Arabidopsis thaliana: one gene and its partner. The protein of the gene in region 1 interacts with the protein of each later gene in a pairwise test. Each region holds a gene or a part of one and is shown in the gene's direction. Other genes may lie near its edges. The genes, in order: PGRL1B and PGR5.

What was found.
Region 2: the proteins of PGRL1B (region 1) and PGR5 interact in a two-hybrid assay, tested with the Arabidopsis thaliana proteins (one study listed by BioGRID).

What each region holds. Positions count from the first base shown.
Region 1 is NC_003075.7:7,174,292-7,180,102, reverse strand, and holds PGRL1B (PGR5-like B), read left to right. Parts: upstream 1-2,214; 5' UTR 2,215-2,393; coding exon 2,394-2,559; intron 2,560-2,929; coding exon of another isoform or gene 2,930-2,975; intron 2,976-3,057; coding exon 3,058-3,170; intron 3,171-3,257; coding exon 3,258-3,354; intron 3,355-3,442; coding exon 3,443-3,543; intron 3,544-3,647; coding exon 3,648-3,704; intron 3,705-3,830; coding exon 3,831-3,907; intron 3,908-4,008; coding exon 4,009-4,060; intron 4,061-4,166; coding exon 4,167-4,277; intron 4,278-4,510; coding exon 4,511-4,608; intron 4,609-4,693; coding exon 4,694-4,763; 3' UTR 4,764-4,777; intron 4,778-4,865; 3' UTR 4,866-5,217; downstream 5,218-5,811. UniProt on the Arabidopsis thaliana protein: Ferredoxin-plastoquinone reductase involved in cyclic electron flow (CEF) around photosystem I. The homodimer is probably not involved in CEF.
Region 2 is NC_003071.7:2,079,986-2,083,649, reverse strand, and holds PGR5 (proton gradient regulation 5), read left to right. Parts: upstream 1-1,790; 5' UTR 1,791-1,962; coding exon 1,963-2,259; intron 2,260-2,341; coding exon 2,342-2,446; 3' UTR 2,447-3,003; downstream 3,004-3,664. Other genes in the region: ATG8D (Ubiquitin-like superfamily protein), read left to right, coding at 120-238, 342-439. UniProt on the Arabidopsis thaliana protein: Critical for growth under fluctuating-light conditions. Involved in the regulation of the cyclic electron flow (CEF) around Photosystem I. Essential for the reduction of PGRL1A by ferredoxin and for photoprotection.

The sequences.
Region 1 (5,811 bases):
AGTTAAATTTGTACTAAACAAAATATATACTTTGGGTGCCTAAAAACTTAAAATCTTTGAAAATTTAAGCTATCCAATCAAAATAGTACATATTGAAGGGGTTGTATAATACTCAGTCCACAATTCATTTGGTTTTATTATATTATAGAAACAAAAATAATAATTAACCAAGATAGGAGAAAAAAAACTTTGAAAATAAAATAGAAAAGCAAAGAGTTCAAAGTAAACTCTAACCAAATTAAAAGATAAAAAAAGATATAAAAGCATTTTATATTTGGTTAGTTCACCAAATAAAATCTCAAATTCATCGAGTACATCCAAGATTTGGGGAGATTTATGTTGATTAGTCCATTTAAAGTAAAAAAAAAATGTTAGTCTATTCTGACAAACTATTAATGTTAGTAGATGAATAATCATGCTATGCATGAGTTGTTGTTTTGAAAATTGTTAAAAATATGTTGTATGTTCTTTGTTGCTAGTTTGTGTAGTTACATAAATATTTAGATTCATCTTATATAGTTACAATTTTTATGCTTTGATTCATCTTTTGACGTAAAATATCAAGTATATATTTTTCATGTGTAATATAATTATCTATATACATAAGATCTTAATCTTTTTTTTGCTATCATAAATACATAGAATAACAATATAAGATATATTGATATAATAGTTGTAATTATAATTGAGTTATACATTAGCATGATTTTGTATTTTTCAATTTTTTTGAAGAAATAAGTTAATAGTATTGATGGAAGATTTAATGATGTGGAGGACTTTTGATTTTCTTAACTTAATTTTGCTAAAATTTTTATTGAATAATATAAAAACACATGTAATTTTCTTGTATGATAATGTGACATTCATATGGAGAGAGTTAACCAACTTTCATATATATATTTTTTTCGATTCAAAGTAATTCTATGACATAAATTTTGTGAATTATTTGTGCATTATAAACTTAAAAATTTATTTGGTTATTTACATGGGACACCCGTGTATCGAAAAGTAGAGAGAAGATTGAACAAAAAAGCTAACAAACTTTATTTATCTCAACAAAATATTGTTACAAGCGTTAGTTAGAACTGTGTATCATTAAGCTTATATATATTTGAACTTAAGCTCACTTAATCAAAGTTAACCAAATATTAAACCAACATTAAACCAGCGAACCATACATCATAATACGCCTCTCTCAAGTCTTTATCTTCGAAGTGTCTGGTTTCCGAAGATAAAAACATCTTCTTGAGTAAATGATGAAATGACCCCGGATGTAGTGGCTTTGTGAAGTACAACTATCCACAATTTTCATTTATAATATCTAATGAGAGCATATCCGACAATGTTATAAACATTTTCTATCGATTTGTTAGTGGTTTACAAACCACCAATGACAATTTATTTCATGATAGATTCATTGTGTTTTAACTTATGGACAACCAGCATCACAATGATTGTTTTTGTCTATGGTTTGAGTCACAAGTCCGATTCATAATTGTTTGTAAATAAATATTTTTTTGTTGACTAATAAATATTATATTACAACTTTTTCTTGCAAATTACTAAAACTCAAGATTCTTTTTCATTTTTTCAAACATATATATATATATATATATATATATATATATATATTACAACAAAATTCTCTTATAAATTATTAAAATTCAAATTTTTTTATCGCAATTAGTTCCTTAAGAGAACTTATAAATAAATTAAGTCTTACATACAAAATATGTTTTCAAAAGAGTACAATGTGTTTGTTGGTTTTGCTTTCGTGCAATATCATGAAATATGTTTATGGTTTCTTAATTATTTATACCAATAGGTGATTCACCACATGATGATGCATATGTACAATTTATCTATTATAATGAGTTTACTATCTTGACTCCCACAAATCAAAACCCTTATTTTTCTTTACCGTTGTCCGTTGAGATGATAAAATAATAAACTAAAAATGATTGTACATATTTTTGTTATGATTTGAGTTAGAGTTTTTTTTTTTCGTTTATTTCAATTCTACGTAAAAAAAATTATATAAAGAATTCATTTTATTTGTGACTAATAATATCTAAATATTATAATACAATATTTGTTTTTGGTAATTTACCAAAATTCAAGATTTTATTCTTATTTTTTTCAAAATCATGACGTGGAACGCTAGACGATCCAACTTCGCTTATCTCCTCCTAATTTTCCCTCCAATTACACGTTGAAACAAAACAAAACAAAAAAATCAGAAGGAACCTGAAACTATCTCACACAGTAAAAAACATCACCATCTCAATTCTCAACCACACAAATCCAAAGCTTCTAACTTTTTTTTTTGTTCTTCGTCCCGGACAAGAGAAAACAACGATCTCACTCAATCATCGGCGTGAGGGATAAAGACGATGGCTTTTACTCTAACAATCCCTAGATTTTCTGCAATTTCTCGCAAACCCATCACTTGTTCTTCTTCGAGGACACAGTGTCCTGCTCCCTTTACCCATGGACGATCGATTTCTCTCAGACGAAGACTTACCTTATTGCCCCTTAAAGCTTCTACTGATCAATCAGGTCTCGATTTTTATTTGCCTCTTTAAAGTTTCGATTTTTTTATTTGTTTTTGCCTCTGATCTTTCTTTGGGAACGAAATTGGTGTGAAAAGTTGAGATTTTTATGATCATAGAAGATAATTAGATAAATGATTTCCAATTTGTAGCCTTTTTAGGATTAAAATTTGTGTGTAGCTTAAGGTTCTTAAGTTATTAACTCATCGTTATGTGATCGAAACAAAAAAGCACTCAATCTTCAAATTTAGTTGAGAAAAGCTGTTGTATTGTAGCTTTGATTTTGTCTCTGATCATTGTTTGGGAACACAGTGGCTTTTGAGAAAGTTTTGATTTTATTCAATCATAGAATAAAATCACTCAAGCTTTAATTCTAGTTAAGAAAAGTTGTTATATGGAACTTTTTTCCTCTGTGGATTTTTAGTTTTTATACTCTAATCCACTAAAAGATTGCTCCTTGAGAGTTTCCTTACTTCTTAAAATCATTTTTATGACTTGTCTTCAGGTCAGGTGGGTGGGGAAGAAGTTGATAGCAAGATTTTACCTTATTGTAGCATCAACAAGAATGAGAAGAGAACTATCGGTGAAATGGAACAAGAGTTCCTCCAAGCGATGCAAGTAACACATCAAATAAAGTGTTTTTATCATTAGTATGGGTTTATCTCTATATAATCGAGGATTGTTTCTGTTTCTTTTCTTTTGCAGTCGTTTTATTACGAAGGCAAAGCGATTATGTCTAATGAAGAGTTTGATAACCTTAAAGAAGAGTTGATGTGGGAAGGAAGCAGTGTTGTCATGCTAAGTAATGAACACTTATGATTTATAGTTTTGTCAATAATCCATTCGCCTAGGTTCTTGATTCTTGATCTAATTTTATCTATGTATTGTAGGTTCTGATGAACAAAGATTCCTTGAAGCTTCAATGGCTTATGTCTCTGGAAATCCAATCTTGAGTGATGAAGAGTATGATAAGCTCAAAATGAAACTAAAGGTTCTTAATCTATTTATACTTACAAATACTATTTCTTAGTTTCATCCATCTTGTTACATGTGTAATTTGGACAAACGTTATGATTGTTTCTTTGGTTTCTGTAGATGGACGGCAGTGAGATTGTGTGTGAGGGTCCAAGATGCAGTCTTCGTAGTAAAAAGGTAAAAACTCTTAATTGTTCGGATAGCTCATATATTCTTTGGACATTACAGAACATAACATTAGATTCATTGTTTGGGACAAACTCTAGAGATGTTATAGACTTGTGGACCTCCTTGATTATGCAGGTTTATAGTGATCTTGCCATTGATTACTTCAAAATGTTCTTGTTGAATGTACCAGCAACTGTTGTTGCTCTCGGACTGTGAGTACCTCCGGTTCTGTTCCTCTCTCAACTTTCAAATCACATGATCTTAGCTTATGTTAGTTAGTTTAAAATTGTTGTTTTCTTCAATTGTTCTCCAGATTTTTCTTTCTTGATGACATTACTGGTTTTGAAATCACGTACCTGCTCGAGGTAAAACCTCTTTCGACTATTCTACTATGGTTTGGAGAATATATACTCGTAGTAATTGTTCCAGTATTCATGCAACTGATTAAAAAACAAAAACAAAAATCTGCAGCTTCCGGAACCATTCAGTTTCATTTTCACATGGTTCGCTGCGGTGCCTGCAATTGTATATCTGGCGTTATCACTCACCAAACTGATCCTCAAAGACTTCTTGATCTTGAAGGTAAAAACATTAATCATCTTCCAAGATCAGTTCATGAAGTGGAAAAATAAAAGTTATAGAACTAAATCTTGTTTTCTCAGTATCAAAAATGCTTAAACAAGAGATTAGACTTGAGATAATAATCTATTTTGTGCTAAACGCTACAAATTTGGATTGGTATAGTGCCAAATCCTACGAGTTTTATGCGATTATTATGAAATGCTTTTAATTTTCGTGGAACATATCTTTCACAGGGCCCTTGCCCAAACTGTGGAACAGAGAATGTATCTTTCTTTGGAACGATACTATCCATCCCCAATGATAGTAACACCAACAATGTCAAATGCTCAGGGTAAGCTTCTCAGCTGTAGACTCGAATCGATCACACAAATTGTCTACAACGTTTCTTGAAGTCTTATGATTCTTCTGGTTTTTAGCTGTGGAACGGAGATGGTCTATGACTCAGGTTCTCGTTTGATCACATTACCAGAAGGAGGGAAAGCTTAAATCTAAGAGCCAAGGTTTAATTCTTATCTCAACTTTGATTTCTGATGAAATCTTTCTTGATTCAATGGAAAATTCAAAATTTTAGGGTTTTCTTTTTCTCAGGGTTATGTAGAAGTGTATGTAAAATTAATACTAACAAATGAAGAAGGTGGAGAAATTGAAGAAGAAGGAGAAAAACCAAAGTTTGTATGCTGTTTTGTATAATCTTCAGATCTTTTCATGTAGCTCTCATTGGCTTGTGTTGTGTTTGTAAGTAAGTGTGAGGCACATTCAAAGAAAAACATCATATGATTACTTCTTTGAGAAACTTTGCTCTCATTAGGAAAGTAAAATAATTCAAGAAATAAGCACAACCTTGTGTAGTTTTGAAATAATACTTGTATTTTTTTTGTTGTTATAATTTTGAATGTGTTCCATAATATAGTTTCGTTAATCCATGTGAAAATCAAATATGATGTTCTAAATCATTTATAGGTGCTAGTCAAGGCCAGTCCAAGACTTTTTGACTTTTGTGATTCTATAGTTCATTTTAGTATGATTTCTATTAAGAAGCTGATAGATAGATAAAAGTGGGGAACATGTAATAAGAGTTAAGGATTATTACAAAGGAAAAAGTCATACAAATATTATAGCATGCCAAATTCTATCTTTTTAATAAGAAAAAGGTGCAATGATGATGATGACATCGTCGTCGTCCCATGCCCTCTATATCATCATTTACCTTCCTTTTTTTTCTCACCGTTTAGACATTTCTAAATGTATCATTTTAGGATCGAAAGAATATAAGCAATTTACAAGACTACAAAGTGTGTATAAAGTAAAATGTCACGAGGCTAGAAGAAAGTAGGATAGTATTCTAAGCATTATAAAACATCGGTCATGCTTATTCATTATTATGTCTTAAGGATTAATAAAAGATACATAGTATATACTATATACTGATCATGTCTGTCCCCAAAACACATGCCAACAAAGTAAAACACAATCAATATACTTCTCTCTCTCTTTCTTCTTGATCACTTCTCTCTGCAAAACCTAACTACTTCTT
Region 2 (3,664 bases), on another chromosome or scaffold:
GAATTGGTTAATTGGATAGAAATAATTTTTTTTTATTGAAAGATCTGGAGGAATTTCTGGTTTTCATGGTTTGTTGCTTAGGGATAATGAATTGGCTGACTTACTATTCAAAACTTTAGGTACTTGGTCCCAGCTGATTTGACTGTTGGCCAGTTTGTTTATGTTGTACGGAAGCGGATCAAGCTCAGTCCCGAGAAAGCCATCTTCATTTTTGTCAAGAACATTCTACCACCAACTGGTTAGTTTCAAACACGTTCCTTAATCATATACTTTTCCAGTTCAAGGAATCATATCTTTTTCTCAGTTGAGCTAATAGTAGTAGTGTTATCCTTTTATTGCAGCGGCAATAATGTCTGCAATTTATGAAGAGCACAAAGACGAAGACGGGTTTCTATACATGAGTTACAGTGGTGAGAACACGTTCGGGATCTTCTTCTAATGCGCTTGGAATATGTGGATGCATCAGATTATCAATGTACAGTCTGTCTATTTCTCTGCTTGTCTCTAGTTTTCATGACATTGGACGAAGCTTTTGAAACTTGCATGCTATGTTATTAACATGATAAGGTCTTCCGTTCATGGTGTTAATTTGGCTTTATGCTACACTTAATTTCAAACTTAGTCGCTATATATAGTTGAGGTCACTTGGTGTCCTCCTTGAATATTGGCCCGGCCTATTTCACTAGTCGTTGAACCGTTACGATTTCTATCTTCTCAAAGTTAGCTCGACCGTCAAATCTCTAAGCTCTTGCAATCTCTGCTTCTAAGGAACACAAAACAGAGATAACTTTAGCTATAAATATTTAGATTTCAAAAGCAACTTGATTTAGGTAAATTTGTGCACACTCTAGAATAGATTATCATCTGTTACAGATTATTACTGTACAATCCAGCAAAAACTAGGCCTGGGATTTCGGATTAACCCAATGACCGAACTGAACAAACCGTTTTTTTGGTTCTGATAACCGACTATGAAGGGAAGGCTAAACCGATCGGCGAAATTATAATTGAAGTTCGGTTCTCGGTTCGGCAGACATAACCGATCAGTTTTCTCGGTTAATAGATACTATAAATATAAAGATAAAAACATTAGATCTAATCTTTTTAGCTTCTTCTCCGTTTCCTTTTGATCCTCATCCATGGCTATTTAGTCAATTCTCTCTATCTGCATGTGGTTTTCACTATGGTAGCACGTCGGGGCATATTTCGTTACGGAGATATCGTCATCCCTCGCTATCACCGTCACCGTCACAGACGTAGATCTGCTGATTATGAAGAGGGTAGCGGCACCAAGATACCATCAACCCTAATTTTTAATAGGTTTGGATTTTTAGTTATTTTGGGTTTAAGTTTGTTTTTCGTTTTGGCCCAATTATTGGTTTGTAATTATAAAATTTTGTTTATCTTCGCCCATTCTATAATTTTTGTTTTGACCCATTATCTTGATTTTGGACTTATTCGGTATAAACTAACCGAACTAAAAAAAAAATCGGTTTAGTTCAGAGTTGATTTTGAATCCTATAACCAAACCGACCCGAACCAAATCTTTATTCGGTTTAATTTGACAAAATTTTAAAGAACCGAAAAAACCGATTAAACCAAACCGAACCGATTACCCGAATAAACCGAATGCCCAGGCCAAAAACAACTGAAAATAAAAAATAAAAAATGAGATAGGAGAATATTTAATCCGACGGTGGAGAAATGTTGATATAATAAAACGTGATACAGAGGATCATAAACCCGCAACATGAGAAACGTAATAAGTTAAGTCAAAAAAACGAAAAAGCCAGAATCATATTTGTGGCTCTGGTTTCTCCATCCAAACAAAAACAACACCCAAACCTTGTCCACACCAAAATGTTAAACTCAAAATCCAACCACACACACACAATTTCTCTTCCTCTCTACCATTAACATCGATCAGAAAGACCGAGAGAGAGAGGGAGAAGCTGATTGATTATGGCTGCTGCTTCGATTTCTGCAATAGGATGTAATCAAACTTTGATAGGAACTTCCTTCTATGGAGGATGGGGAAGTTCCATCTCCGGAGAAGATTACCAAACCATGCTCTCCAAGACAGTTGCGCCACCGCAACAAGCCAGAGTCTCAAGGAAAGCAATCAGAGCAGTTCCAATGATGAAGAATGTCAATGAAGGCAAAGGCTTATTTGCACCTCTAGTTGTTGTCACACGCAACCTAGTAGGCAAGAAGAGGTTTAATCAGCTCAGAGGAAAAGCCATTGCCTTACACTCTCAGGTTTGCTTGTCTTATAATCATTCTCTTAAGAACTAGTCAAAGAAGCAAAGTTTTGTGGAACTGGGTTCTTTTGTTCTTTCAGGTGATCACTGAGTTTTGCAAATCGATTGGAGCAGATGCAAAACAGAGACAAGGGCTTATCAGGCTTGCTAAGAAGAATGGAGAGAGGCTTGGTTTCCTTGCTTAGGTCTTAAAAAGAACAAATCTTTCTCTCTGCTTGTGTCTGATATATACACTCACAACTCCTCTTGTTGTTCTTGTCTAGATGTATTTTGTCCAAACCTATAATCTTGATTTTTGTTACATTGCCTTTGAGGGTTACTCAAACACACATAACTGCTGCCATTCTCATCTGAAAAGTTGTTCAATAAGGTCTTAGCTGAACTAGTTTTCTCAGTCACATAGAGATACAAAATATGTAATATTGCCACTCTTTCAACAGATTAAAAAGCCTAATCATAACTCTCAAACAATTAAGGGATTGAAAAAGACTGTAAGTTTTGCTTTCTATTGAAGCATCCCTAAGATCGGAGAGGTATTGAGAGCTGCAGTTTTTTAACACCGTGAGCTTACACTGATTACTTCAAGACCCAAGTAAGATTGCATAATATGTCAATAAAGTTGTCATCGTGGAAACTTGATATATATGGAACTTTACCTAGACATTCTTTAACACAAACTCTGTTTCTGCTAGCTAAGCATTCGTTCCCAAAGGTTTCCAGGAGGTTGACTTGTTGCCAGTTGCCTTAACCTTGATTAGGTTGAAAATTTGGGTACGAGTAATGTTACAGAACCACACGTGGGAGGTCACACGTGCGAAATCAAATGGAAGAAGGAATTAATAAGAGGCTGACGCGTGTCGACTGAGGAGTGGCAGACTCAAACATGCCGTTAGGCCCTTCTATATGAGCAATATTCAGCTCATCTTTCTCTTTTATCAATTAATCTGTAAAATCTAGAATCTCTGAGAACTTTTCTAAGCTAGATATCTCACATCGAGACTAGCAGATCCTTGGGTGTTTTATGAACATCGATTGCTCATTGTAATCAGGGATTTATTCTTAATCGGAATTGATTTTACAGTGAACCGGAAAGTTATTTGTATCAAAGGTATCAAAGCTCTGTCTTTCCTTGGAGTCATGGTTCATACACGTTTTCATGATGAGTCGAAGGAGAAGGGAAAAGAGGTGGAAGGTTTGGATCCGATGGAGGAGAGGATGGCGAGGCTGGAGGCGATGATGGAAGCTCATAGCAAAGCGACGATGAAGAATCTGGCTGATATGATGACTGCGATGAGCAGATCTACAGCTCAGAAACAGCCGGATGAGCAGTCCAGTGGTGAGCGGAGTCTACCTCGATCATCAACTTCAACGGATGATAGAGTGGTTTTTCAGGATGTCCGATG